3 linked regions of the Macaca fascicularis genome follow. The protein of the gene in region 1 interacts with the protein of each later gene in a biochemical or structural test. Links are inferred from orthologs where the notes say so. Each region holds a gene or a part of one and is shown in the gene's direction. Other genes may lie near its edges.

The links. The genes of interacting proteins can lie anywhere in the genome.
Region 2: the proteins of BMPR2 (region 1) and GDF5 form a complex in vitro, tested with the Homo sapiens proteins (2 studies listed by BioGRID and IntAct, with this or other methods). The link is inferred for Macaca fascicularis from reciprocal best matches to the Homo sapiens genes BMPR2 and GDF5.
Region 3: the proteins of BMPR2 (region 1) and GDF2 form a complex in vitro, tested with the Homo sapiens proteins (2 studies listed by BioGRID). The link is inferred for Macaca fascicularis from reciprocal best matches to the Homo sapiens genes BMPR2 and GDF2.

Annotation. Positions count from the first base shown.
Region 1 is NC_088386.1:98,234,765-98,239,126, forward strand, and holds the start of BMPR2 (bone morphogenetic protein receptor type-2), read left to right. Parts: upstream 1-1,222; 5' UTR 1,223-2,499; coding exon 2,500-2,575; intron 2,576-4,362. UniProt on the Homo sapiens protein: On ligand binding, forms a receptor complex consisting of two type II and two type I transmembrane serine/threonine kinases.
Region 2 is NC_088384.1:91,491,660-91,496,141, reverse strand, and holds the start of GDF5 (growth/differentiation factor 5), read left to right. Parts: upstream 1-1,524; 5' UTR 1,525-1,876; coding exon 1,877-2,501; intron 2,502-4,482. UniProt on the Homo sapiens protein: Growth factor involved in bone and cartilage formation. During cartilage development regulates differentiation of chondrogenic tissue through two pathways.
Region 3 is NC_088383.1:56,914,042-56,918,655, reverse strand, and holds the start of GDF2 (growth/differentiation factor 2), read left to right. Parts: upstream 1-1,656; 5' UTR 1,657-1,871; coding exon 1,872-2,217; intron 2,218-4,054; coding exon 4,055-4,614. UniProt on the Homo sapiens protein: Potent circulating inhibitor of angiogenesis. Signals through the type I activin receptor ACVRL1 but not other Alks. Signaling through SMAD1 in endothelial cells requires TGF-beta coreceptor endoglin/ENG.

The DNA of each region.
Region 1 (4,362 bases):
TTAAGGAATGTGGAGATTTATTTACATCAAATTCAGATAAAGAGAGAATAGCAGACTCGAAGAAGCAAGCAGAGCATGACTTAAGGAGTCTATGACTGTATCTGTGGAACTGCCCTTAGCCTCAATAAAAGATCAGCAAAACCAGCCTTCAGCATAACCCTCCTGCCTGGTGGGAGATGGGAAGGCCAGACTTCACCCCTCAAGATCGCCCTCCCACGCGCATTTTCCACCTCGCAGCTAAGAATTCAGTCCAGACTTCCGATCATGGCGCCACGCACGTCACCTTCTCCCCTCGCCGCCGGCAAAATCCCACCCACGTCGGCTGACCCCGCAGCGGGGTGTAAGGGCGGGAGGGATGCTGGTCGCTTGTACAAACCAGATCGAAAAAACGCACTACACAAATCCTTGGAAACTGCGGTACCAACGGGATCTTCTCAATTACTTGAGTGCAAAATGATCCCACTCTCTATCCTGACATAACTCTAGCTCAATTTTCTTTTCACGTGCCCTAAAAAGCCCTCAAGGCCCCCAGCCTTGTGAATCCAGGCCCTCTCTCGGGGTGGACACCGCGCTGTACGGACAGACGCGCGCACACAGCGGGATGATTTATAGATTAAAAGTCTTTTTCTCTCTCTCTCTCTGGCTTCGCATCCTTGCAAATACTCAATATTCCTGTCAACTAAGAAGGCTAAGGGAATGGGCGGTTGAGGAAAGCAGGACGTCGATTACAGCAAACACATCAAAGGGGGAGGGGGTCTTTCCAATTCCGGCTTTTGTTTGAGTCAGAGGGGAGCCTGAGGAGGCCAAGGTCTCCGGTTCTGGGAAAGGCGGGTCCATCCGGATTCTTTGGGCTGCGGAGAGGGAGGCTCCAGCGCCGTGAAACAACAGAGGGCAGTTCTGCCCCTCGAGGCTTTCCTCCGAGAGTACTGAGAAGGAGACGCCTCAGTCGGGAGAAATCCCGGAATCGGAGGAGTCTGCTAAACGCCTAACAAAAAGATGTGGCCGCCCTCTCTTAAACAAATACGCGAATCCCAAGCCTTGCACGTTTGGAAGTCATGTGTGTGTAAAGGAGAAAGGCCACCGCTGCCCACCGCGGCCCCACCCAGCCCTCGGCCATTCAAGGGACAGACGCGCCGCGCTGGGGCCTCGGAGCCCTCAACCAGCCCGGGACGAGGGGCGGGGCCGGGCGGGGTCGTGAGCGCGCAGGCGCAGTGCGGGCTTCATCCTGCCGCCGGCGCCGCCGCCGCCGCCCGCGCTGCACCACAGGCCAGAGACAGACAGGGCCGGGAAGAGCCGTAGACTGAGGAGGAGGCGGAGGCGGCGGCGGAGGCGGGGCGACTCCGGTGACCGGGAGCGCCGCAGACTCGCAGCTGCGGCGACTCCCCCCTTTGTGTCTGGTCTGCTCGGAGCCACTGGAAGTGCTTCCCGGAGGGACGCAGGGTGTCTCGCCGCCTCACTGCCCACTCCCTTCCCCGGCTACCTTCATCCGCCCTCCCGCCGCCCCCCGCCCTCGGTCCGCGACGCCCGAGCTCCTCCCGGAGCCCAGAGCTGCGGGAGAACGAGGCGGTGGCGGCGGCGGCGGCGGCGGCGGCTTCCTCGGGGGGTTGTGATTCGCTCACAGGAGCCATTGACGGGAGAAGACGAGGCTTTCATGGTGGAATTTACCTCAGGCAAGATGGAGCGGCAGGAATAAAAAGCGAGGAAGGGAAGGGAGCGCCGCCAGAGGGCTAGGAGGGGCAGCCTCTCGCACCCCGTCCGCCCGCGGTCTCGGGGAGCCCGGGCCGGGGCCGCGACCCCTCCCCTCCCCCGCTCCTACGTTTCCTCAGCCTTCGCCAGGGCCTCCCCGACCCTCTCACGGTTGTTCCGCGAAGGCGTGGGGACTGTGAGCTTGTCATGGAGGCAGGCACCTTTTTGGATCCAGTCAAGGAAGAGGATTTGTTGTTTTCGAAATCAGAGTGAAGGAAGCACCGAAGCGAAACTTAAGGAATCCTGCCTTCCCGGAGCCGCGGGCGATGCGACTCGGGCTGCCGGGCGCCGCCGCCGCCCGCCCGGCTTCGTCCTTCCCGACAGTCAGGAACTAGTTCTGACCCTCGCCCCCCGGATCCGGATCGAATCCCCGCCCTCCGCACCCTGGATATGTTTTCTCCCAGACCTGGATATTTTTTTGATATCGTGAAACTACGAGGGAAATAACTTGGGAGATTTCTTCTTGGCTCCCTGCTTTCCCCACAGACATGCCTTCAGTTTGGAGGGCCGCGGCACCCCGTCCGAGGCGAAGGAACACCCCCAGCCGCAGGGGAGAGAAATGAAGGGAATTTCTGCAGCGGCATGAAAGCTCTGCAGCTAGGTCCTCTCATCTGCCATTTGTCCTTTCAAACTGCATTGTGATACGGGCAGGATCAGTCCACGGGAGAGAAGACGAGCCTCCCGGCTGATTCTCCGCCTCTCTACTTCCCATATTTCTTTTCTTTGCCCTCCTGCTTCTTGGCTGGCCCAGGGATGACTTCCTCGCTGCAGCGGCCCTGGCGGGTGCCCTGGCTACCATGGACCATCCTGCTGGTCAGCACTGCGGCCGGTGAGTAGCTCCGGCCGGCGCGTCCCGGCCACTTCCCCTGCGGGTGGCGAGGGAGGGAGCCCGCAGAGGCCGAGGCCTGTGCTCGCCCTTCGTCACGCGTCCCTCCGATCGCGGAGCTGCGAACCGGTGCCGGCGCGCCTGCCCCATGCCTTCCAGGGAAATCGCCTTTAATATTCCTGTGTATTTTCCTATCCCCACTTCCATATTCCCACCCCACCCCCCTTCACGGGGTGAAAAAGACATATTGGGTGTGGTATCTTGACATTTTTAGCTGTGAGGTAATGCAACGATTAAAAATAATATTTTAATCACCAGTGAAGGGTCTATTATGAGGTCTCTGAAAACAGACCTGTAGATTTTTAAAATTATTATTATAAAGAAGCGGTTTTGGCTTACAGTAAAAAGAACATCAACTAGAGAACACACACTTGAACCTTATTTTGAGATTTAGATCACTCTGGAATCCATGTTCCTTTCATTATTCAGAAATTTTACCGAATGAATAGAATAAATGTTGAGGAAGCCGGAACTGTGAGATTCTTGATATATTGTATTATACGGTTTGATAAGTTTACTGTTAGTCACCTGGCATCTCTCTGTTGGCTTTGCTGTCGAGACAACTTTGACCTGACATTAGACTTCTAGGAGATTTGACTCCGAAAGTTCTTTGACATTTCATTAAAGTCTAAAGGGTGGTAGTCATCCTTTCTTTTGGATATTTTCATTTCAGTTCTCAGAAACCTTAGGAAAAAGACTACATCTTCTATTTGCAACTATTTTTTCAAGCAGTCTTTTGGTGATTTGCTTTTAGAAATTTTGAGAAGTGAATTCTACATGTAACTCGTACACTTGGTTTATGATGGGCAAATGGATTGTGCTTTTAAAACGAGTAAAGGACCAAATTACCCTTTCGAATTACTTTTTTCTTTTGATAAGTGTGTTTCACATTAAACAAATTTCTCATTGCTATGTTAGATACAGAGGTTATTTGCTTAATTTGGTTTTAAAAGTCTGACCTAGGAAAATGCCGAAAGAAAATTTGAAGTTTCCTTTTATGCTTTTGATATTGTTGAATAATGTCTACTGTTGATTAATGTCTGTTAAATTGATGATAAATCTATATGGTTCTGTTAAAATAATTTGAACTTCTGAATTTACTTTAAAACTGATATTTTAATATTTTTAATAATTGTAGTTGCTTTCAGAGTAAAAATGATTTTTCTCCAAATTTCTTTTTTTTTTTTTTTTGAGACGGAGTCTTGCTCTGTCACCCAGGCTGGAGTGCAGTGGCCGGATCTCAGCTCACTGCAAGCTCCGCCTCCCGGGTTCACGCCATTCTCCTGCCTCAGCCTCCCGAGTAGCTGGGACTACAGGCGCCCGCCACCGCGCCCGGCTAGTTTTTTGTATTTTTTAGTAGAGACGGGGTTTCACCGTGTTAGCCAAGATGGTCTCGATCTCCTGACCTCGTGATCCGCCCGTCTCGGCCTCCCAAAGTGCTGGGATTACAGGCTTGAGCCACTGCGCCCGGCCCAAATTTCTTTATATTGTGTTAGCTATTTAAATTCTCTAGCCACAAGCCATGTGGTTCCTGTAAAATATGGAGTAAAAGGCCTTAAACATTCCATGAGCAGAAATCTGAGAACATACACTTTTCAGTGTTCTTTGTTATTCTTAACCTTTTAAGAATATAGATTCTCATTTATCTTGACGTGCTCGTAATATTGTGATCAGAACTGATAAAAGTAAGAGAAAAAGCATTTATTTAAAAATAAACTTAATTTTTGTTT
Region 2 (4,482 bases), on another chromosome or scaffold:
CCCTGTCTGGGGACCAGGAAAGACTTCCCGAAGGAGGTGAATTTTCAGCTAAACTTCTCAGGATGTGGAGTGCTTCCTCCAGTTGTGGGAGAGAGAGAGGAGGAGATTTCAGGTGAAGTGAACAGCTTTCCCCGCTGACCCTGGGGTAAGTTGCCCAGGGGCTCTATCGCACAGGTCCCCCAGAGGAAGGGAGCTTCCATACTTCAATGGGTTTTCATTTAGAATACTCGAGTTCAGCTGGAATTCAGAACTTCCAGACTTACCAGAAAAGCATCATGTGGGAAATTGTGCCGGGCGCAGTGGCTCACGCCTATAATCTCAGCGCTCTAGGAGACCGAGGCAGCTGGATCACGATGTCAGGAGATGGAGACCATCCTGGCTAACACGGTGAAACCCCGTCTGTGCTACAAACATAAAAAATCAGCCGGGCGTGGTGGCGGGGGCCTGTAGTCCCAGCTACTCGGGAGGCTGAGTCGGGAGAACGGCGTGAACCTGGGAGGCGGAGCTTGCAGGGAGCCGAGATCGCGCCACTGCACTCCAGCCTGGGCTACACAGCGAGACTCCGTAGAAAAAAAGAAAAAAGAAAAAAGAAAAGCATCATGTGGGAAATGGCTTTTCCAGCCTCCTGTAGGGGCCGCTGCTGCCCCAGACTCAGCCAGTCTCTTCTAAGAAAACTCGGAGGACGTCTTTGCCGGGGTGGAGGTGGGGTACACCCTGGACCTGCCGCCATCCAAGGAGTGGACTTAAGGGCGGCAGTGCCCCCAAGCCTGAAGAATATGCACTCAGTCAATGGCATTTGGTGGTAGGGAGGGGGTGTAGTGGGCACAGATATTTTTCAGTCTCTGGGTCACCACAAGTTTATTAAAATAAAAGAAAATGTGGGTAAATGCTGCCATCTGTGCTGTCCCTACTCCCAATACACACACACACACACACACACACACACACACACAGAGGCACACACACACAGACACACATAAACACACACATACAACAAATCAGGTCCCAGGCTAGATGCAGGAGTTGAAACTGCTTTAAAAACACTCTAAGGACTTAACTACAAACCCACACTCCCCATGCTTCTGGGGCTTAAGATCTTTGAGCTCATTCTTCAGCATCTCTCCTTGGGAAGGTGGGGTGGGCTGCTCCATGAGGTGGAGGTGAAGACCCCTGAGTCTGCTCCATGGAGGGGGAGGCCCCCTAAGCCTAGAGTCCCGCTGCGGGGCTCTGTGCCAAGAGCCCCCGTGAGCCATGGCCTCGAAAGGGCAGCGGTGATTTTTTTCACATAAATATATCGCACTTAAATGAGTTTAGACAGCATGACATCAGAGAGTAATTAAATTGGTTTGGGTTGGAATTCCGTTTCCAATTCCTGAGTTCAGGTTTGTAAAAGATTTTTCTGAGCACCTGCAGGCCTGTGTGTGTGTGTGTGTGTGTGTGTGTGTGAAGTATTTTCACTGGAAAGGATTCAAAACTAGGGGGAAAAAAAAACTGGAGCACACAGGCAGCATTACGCCATTCTTCCTTCTTGGAAAAATCCCTCAGCCTTATACAAGCCTCCTTCAAGCCCTCAGTCAGTTGTGCAGGAGAAAGGGGGCGGTCGGCTTTCTCCTTTCAAGAACAAGTTATTTTCAGCTGCTGACTGGAGACGGTGCACGTCTGGATACGAGAGCATTTCCACTATGGGACTGGATACAAACACACACCCGGCAGACTTCAAGAGTCTCAGACTGAGGAGAAAGCCTTTCCTTCTGCTGCTACTGCTGCTGCCGCTGCTTTTGAAAGTCCACTCCTTTCATGGTTTTTCCTGCCAAACCAGAGGCACCTTCGCTGCTGCCGCTGTTCTCTTTGGTGTCATTCAGCGGCTGGCCAGAGGATGAGACTCCCCAAACTCCTCACTTTCTTGCTTTGGTACCTGGCTTGGCTGGACCTGGAATTCATCTGCACTGTGTTGGGTGCCCCTGACTGGGGCCAGAAAGCCCAGGGGACCAGGCCAGGATTGGCCAAAGCAGAGGCCAAGGAGAGGCCCCCCCTGGCCCGGAACGTCTTCAGGCCAGGGGGTCACAGCTATGGTGGGGGGGCCGCCAATGCCAGGGCAAAGGGAGGCACCGGGCACACAGGAGGCCTGACACAGCCCAAAAAGGATGAACCCAAAAAGCTGCCCCCCAGACCGGGTGGCCCTGAACCCAAGCCAGGACACCCTCCCCAAACAAGGCAGGCTACAGCCCGGACTGTGACCCCAAAAGGACAGCTTCCCGGGGGCAAGGTACCCCCAAAAGCAGGATCTGTCCCCAGCTCCTTCCTGCTGAAGAAGGCCAGGGAGCCCGGGTCCCCGCGAGAGCCCAAGGAGCCGTTCCGCCCGCCCCCCATCACACCCCACGAGTACATGCTCTCGCTGTACAGGACGCTGTCCGATGCTGACAGAAAGGGAGGCAACAGCAGCGTGAAGTTGGAGGCTGGCCTGGCCAACACCATCACCAGCTTTATTGACAAAGGGCAAGGTGAGGGGGCGGGGTGGCAGGGGCACGGCTCAGAGGGAGGGGCATCTGCATGAATGGAGGGGCTTTCAAAGCCCTGGCACTGCCCTGGTGGGAGACACTGTGTGCATCTGGCCCGGGGTGGGTGTATGGGGACGCTCACACATATCTCACACATAGCAGATCCCGAGCTGCCCACACATCAGGGCTGGAGGGCACCTAGGAATCACCAGGTTCAATGCCTGCAAGGTGCAGGGCGGGCACTAAAGCCTAGAGAGGAGACAACACCTGCCAGTTGGTGGCAGAGTTGGAGACCGGATTCCAAGACTTGATTCCCCAGCTGTGCATCTGTCCCTGCTGGGCTGGCCGAACTTTCCACGCTCCAGGGGTTTGTAGGTGGTCTCAGATGGCAGAGAAAGAAATGAATCTTGAGGTCCCCGTGGTTCTGCAACTTTGCCCTCAGGCAAGGGGATAGAGGAGGCAAGAGAGGTGCTCACAGTAAATGGGGCATCTTGGAGTCATGGAATGATGTTCGAATATATGGGGAGGGAGCAGACCTAGGGTCTAACTCGCAGTGTGACCTTGGGAAAGCCCCTTCTCACTTGGGGTCTCTGTTTTCCCATCTGTACACCTATATGGGGTTGGACAGGGTGGTTTCTGAGAGCGCTTCCGACATGAAAACTTTAGGTCCTGTCCTGAACACGCCTCATTCTCCTTACATTAACTCGGGAGACCTCTCTCTGCTCCCCTCTGTCTCTCTCTGCCCACCTAGTGTTACTGTTGCAGCTTTTCCTCTCCACTTGCTGTGTGATCTAAGCAAGTCCCTCCCGCTCTGAGGGCCTCAGTTTCTTCCTAGTGTGAAGAGGGAGGTGGGCTGTTGGTCGCTCAAGTTGCCTGCAGCTCATTTGCTCTGGTCCTAGGCTGGCAGGGTGGGGGAGGGGTCAGAGGGTGGGAGAGGTTTCTCATTAGAGCTGGCCTGGAGGGGGCTGCCGGGGCGGGGGGTGGGGGGGTGGGAGAGGCACAGAGGCAGCAGGTCTGGCTGAGGTGGGGGAGGTGGTCTGGCTGCCTGCCCAGCCAGGGAAAGCTGTGACCCCTTGGGGGCTCATAAAATAAGTCCTTGTGCCCCCCAGCACTAAGGGAGCTTCGAGAGGGGGAGATGGGGAGTTTAAAGGCCTAATTAGTCACCTTCTAGAGCAATATATGAAAGCTCCCCAATGGCAAATTGGTATTCAGGAAGGAGGGCATGCTGATTCAGAGATACTACTGAGCTTCTCACATAAACATACATAGCCTTATGTTTATACAGACGTGCTGAATCACACATGTACACGCATGCTGACTCACACACGTACACACATGCTGAACCACACATGTACACACATGCCGAATCACACATGTACACGCATGCCGAATCACACACGTACGCATGTGCACACACACCTTCTTACATACACGTGTACACAAGATCGATTATGCACATACATACATATATGTGCTCTTCAAATAGTACACAAGCCCAATCATTTATACATATAATGCATCATTAACGTATACTCTTTCATATTCACACATGAACCCAACATTAACGTATACTCTTTCATATTCACACATGAACCTAATCACACACACACATACAACTGTAACACACGCACACACTCAGGAGAGTAAGACACATAGGCAACAAAATCCTTGCACTGGGAAGCCAGGAAAATTGGGCTGTAGGTCAGTGTGGACCAGCTTTGACATTAAGTTGCTGTGTGACCTTAGTCAAGTCACTCCCCATCTCTGTGCCTCATCTGTAAAACAAGAGCACTAAGGTCTCCTTTAAGGGATGGTGGAAGCAACTGAGAATTTGAGCAAGTCATCTAACTTCTCTGAACCTTGGGATTCTCCTCCAGAAAAGCATGGGTTTTTTTTGTTGTTGTTGTTTATTTGTTTTGTTGTTGTTTGTTTGTTTGTTTTTTAGCCAGGGTCTCTCTCTGTTGCCCAGGCTGGAGTGCAGTAG
Region 3 (4,614 bases), on another chromosome or scaffold:
AGGTTATTTATTTTCTCTTTAACAATGTTTTCCATTTCCCAAGCTTTCTGCACTATAGACTACTGTTATAACTGGGAAAAAATGTCACATTTGAAAAATAACATCAGGTAGCAGCGCCTTGCTCCTACTAGAGCACATCCAGGCCCCTAGGCTATTCATACTCTGCTCAGCCTCTCATGTGTGAAAAGCTCCTGGTCAGACCACGATGCAGGCATCTGCCCTGTCCTCACTCCTCCCAGACCACACCCCACTCTGCATTTGCAGCTCCATTTCTTGGGCATGGCACCCATTTATTCATCTTTTCTCTGCCCCATGGAATTCTTGCGCTGAGCTGGATCAAAGCCCAGCGCACTTCCAGTCCTCTTCCCAAGCAGCATTTCTGAAGCAGCACGCTTCCCGTCTTCCCCTGGCCCATGTCATCAAAGGACAGAGATAGCAAGTTCTGTCCAGGCCCAGCCATTCAGGGGCTCCTGATTTCACCCATCCTCCTCTGCAATCTGACCACAGCATGCTGTGGCCCCTCCTGCACCCCACTAAACCTGCTCAGCTCTCTGCAACCTCTCCCCGACAGCCTCACCAGCATGGAGCATCTTCCCCAGAGTAAACCACCAGGCACAGCATACCCTGGAGTATTTCTAACCATGCTCCTTCTTTGCTGTACTCAAAGCCACACATGATGGAAATGGACAGAGTCTTAAGTGTGGACACACTGCTCTTAACACAGTCCCTAGGGCCCTTTCCTGGGCCACAGCTTGTCAGCCTCCAAAGGCCAGGGGATCATCTTCTTGGCATGTACCAGTCTCAGAACAACTCACCTACTCCCCTGTCTACCAGATTGCGTGGTTCTCCCTGCTGATGAGTGTGGGCCAGGTGGCTGCCAAGTCAATGTGAGCTAAGACCACCCCACAACAGGCCAGTGCCAGAGCTGGGATGCAGGGATGTGGGGAGCTCCCTGCAGGCTGCAGTGTGTTGTGGAGCTCTGACAGAGCAGGCTGGGGGAACCCGGGGCTCCAGCTCAATCAGGTGTGGGCTGGAGAAGGGGCATCCAGAATGCTGCCACCAAGCCAGCCTGGGGCACAGCATCCTCTTAACCCCTACAACTATCTTCTGAATGGGAGGCTCGTAGAGTGCGGTGACTTGTTCCAGGTGACATTTGCAGGGAATCGGTGAGGGAGCTGAGATCCCAGCCTCTGTCTAGTCTGACTTATCACCACACTAAATTGCACGAGAGCCATATTCACTCGTGATCTCTAATGCTCAGCAATGCATCCCACCAACAGAGCAGGGAGCCTTGCTCGCAGGTTCCGACTCTGTAAGGAGCAGGCCTCTTCTGAGCCTTGATGTGGTCCCCACACTCTCCCCATCTCCCCAGCCCCCACAGTTCACTGTGCTCTTGCGCTGTCCTTTCTATATTTGGAGGGCTTCTTGGTCTTGTTTCCTGGATTCTTCACTACTGTGGCCCAGGAGATGGAGCATATGTCACCCTGCCTGGAGATTCTTCTGAAGACCCCTGGCAAGGAAATGAGAAAGGATCCTAATTAGGGGGCAATAACCCCCTGGAGAAGCACAGATTCCTTACAGTAGGCCGTGTCCTTCCCACATGCCCTGTGTGTTTGTCAGATGTTTATAGAGCCTTCATTAACGGAAGGCTCCCTCAGATAAGACGTCGGAGCGCGGCATCGAGGACCAGATAAGCACAAGTGGAGGACAATCCAGCCCGGCAGCGGGCGAAAGTGGGCGCTGGCCAGGACGGTTCCTTCAGAGCAAACAGCAGGGAGATGCCGACCCGCTCCTTCCCGGCTCCTCCCCGTGCCCGCTAACACAGTACGGCCGCCTGCAGTCTCCTCTCTGGGTGATTGCGTGGGCCCAAGATGTGTCCTGGGGCACTATGGGTGGCCCTGCCCCTGCTGTCCCTGCTGGCCGGCTCCCTGCAGGGGAAGCCACTGCAGAGCTGGGGGCGAGGGTCTGCTGGGGGAACTGCCCACAACCCACTGGGGGTGCCTGGAGGTGAGCTGCCGGAGCACACTTTCAACCTGAAGATGTTTCTGGAGAACATGAAGGTGGATTTCTTGCGCAGCCTTAACCTGAGCGGGGTCCCTTCGCAGGACAAAACCAGGGTGGAGCCACCGCAGTACATGATCGATCTGTACAACAGGTACACGTCTGATAAGTCGACTACGCCAGCGTCCAACATCGTGCGGAGCTTCAGCATGGAAGGTAGGGTCTCCGCTTGCACCGGATGCGCTGGGGTAGGACTCACAGGTCCACAGCTGCTTTCACCAGGGTGGAGGCCGCTGGTCATAGGAGGCTCTTCAAGCTTCCATTTAAATTAGTTACAATGAAATAAAATTAAAACTTAGTTCTTTAGCCTCACCAGCTTCCTTTCAAATGTGTGGCTAATGGCTTCCCTATCAGGCAGTGCAGACTGCAGAACATTTCCATGGTCACTGAGAGTTCTACTCGGCGCTTCTGCTCTGAAGGATTCACCTTCCCCAGGCTGTGTGCCACATTTCACACAGCATGTGCACAGGGATGCCAGCTCCCTTTTTTCCACCCCTTCTGTTTACTCTCCTCTTCTTTCCATCTCTCCCCTCTGATTCACTTCTCTTCCTTTTCCCCTTCCCTTCCTGTCCCCTTCCTACTTCAAAACAAAACAGACAACCTATTTCACCTCCAACTAACTGGTATATTTTTAAACTTTGAAAGCACAGTTATTCCTTTCTTGTGAAAGGGTTTTAAAAATCAGATGAAATTCTTTGACAGAGAAGTGTTGAAAGAGAACCTAATTGTTTTTAAATAGAAATGTATCTGATTTAGAAGGACTAGAAGATAACAAACACGGACCTAGGACCTATGTCCTAACTCAGTCAAGCTCACATGATGCAGGGGGAAATAAGTTTCTGAACAGTGAAACTGTTCAGTCAAAACTTGCAGCCACCAAGGGTTCCCACCCATGTCACCTAGGAAGTGTTAAGCCGCTGGATTCTGACCCAGGCCTGTCCGTCTGCACAGCCGGCTTTTCCTGCTGCTGCCGTCTCCCTCTGAATGTCCAGGAGCACAGAGCCTCTCCCCTCCTGGGTCTGAGACTTGCAAATGGCTTAGGGGCCTGGCTCCATACCGCATCCAGGCCAGAGCTAACCAGTCTGCAGAGGCAGGACTGGCACTTCAAAACCTGCCAGCTAGGTTTCCCTATAGCACCGGGTCTCCACACATGTGGGCGCATAGCAAGTGCCCAGAAAATGCAACCTCTTTTCCCTGTCTGTGAACCAGCCGTGGTATAGCAGGAGTGTGCTAACGACAAAGTGTCAGCCCAGGATAAATGGGATATTGAGTTAACTATGTGGCTAAAAGGCAAGCCCCATTTTTGCTTGACATGACAAAGCAATTGAAGCTAATAGATTTTTTTCCTGAAACACTAAAACCAATTAATCACTTATGCTTTGTTCAGAAATTACAATTTCAAATGATGCATACACTGTTTAGAGGCTGAGATTTTTGATATTGTCTTAATATTGGGATTTCACTGTCCCTACCCAGGATCTTGCCTTTAAATTCGTGTACTCAGGATCTTCACTCAGGATCTGACAGTGAGTTTTGCTGTTTTCTTTATGTACTCACTAGCTGTGTGCTAGTAAGTCCCAGGATACTTAACTAGCTGCGTGCATTTTGGCAATTAACTGCCTTGAATCCCAGTCTCCACATCTGCAAATGTGGAATAATAATTAGATCCTCCCAGGGTGAGTGCGAGGATTAAGGTGAAATTTACACTGCAAAGCTCCCAGTGTAATGCCTGGCACACAGTAGATGCTCAATAAACAGTAGGAACTGTCAATCCCAATTAGAGGCATCTCCTGCCTTTGCTTTTCTTTGGAAGATCTTAAGTATACCTTTGAAAATACTCTTATACCTTAAGGGCTTGGGTGAAACCAAATAGAGATAATACAGACCAAAACTGTTATCCCAGATGCTCTTCTGTCTAAACCCTGAGACTCAGCTTCAGTGTCATGGAAACAGACCCTTCGGCAGATGCCCACCAGGTGTGTTTGCATTTCAGATGCCATCTCCATGACTGCCACGGAGGACTTCCCCTTCCAGAAGCACATCTTGCTCTTCAACATCTCCATTCCCAGGCACGAGCAGATCACCAGAGCTGAGCTCCGACTCTATGTCTCCTGTCAAAATCACATGGACCACTCTCACGACCTGAAAGGAAGCATGGTCATTTATGATGTTCTGGATGGAACAGATGCCTGGGATAGTGCTGCGGAGACCAAGACCTTCCTGGTGTCCCAGGACATTCGGGATGAGGGCTGGGAGACCTTGGAAGTGTCCAGCGCCGTGAAGCGTTGGGTCCGGTCCGACTCCACCAAGAGCAAAAATAAGCTGGAAGTGACTGTGGAGAGCCACAGGAAGGGCTGTGACAAGCTGGACATCAGTGTCCCCCCAGGTTCCAGAAACCTGCCCTTCTTTGTCGTCTTCTCCAATGACCACAGCAGTGGGACCAAGGAGACCAGGCTGGAGCTGAGGGAGATGATCAGCCATGAGCAAGAGAGTGTGCTCAAGAAGCTGTCCAAGGAGGGCTCCACAGAGGCAGGTGAGAGCAGCCACGAGGAG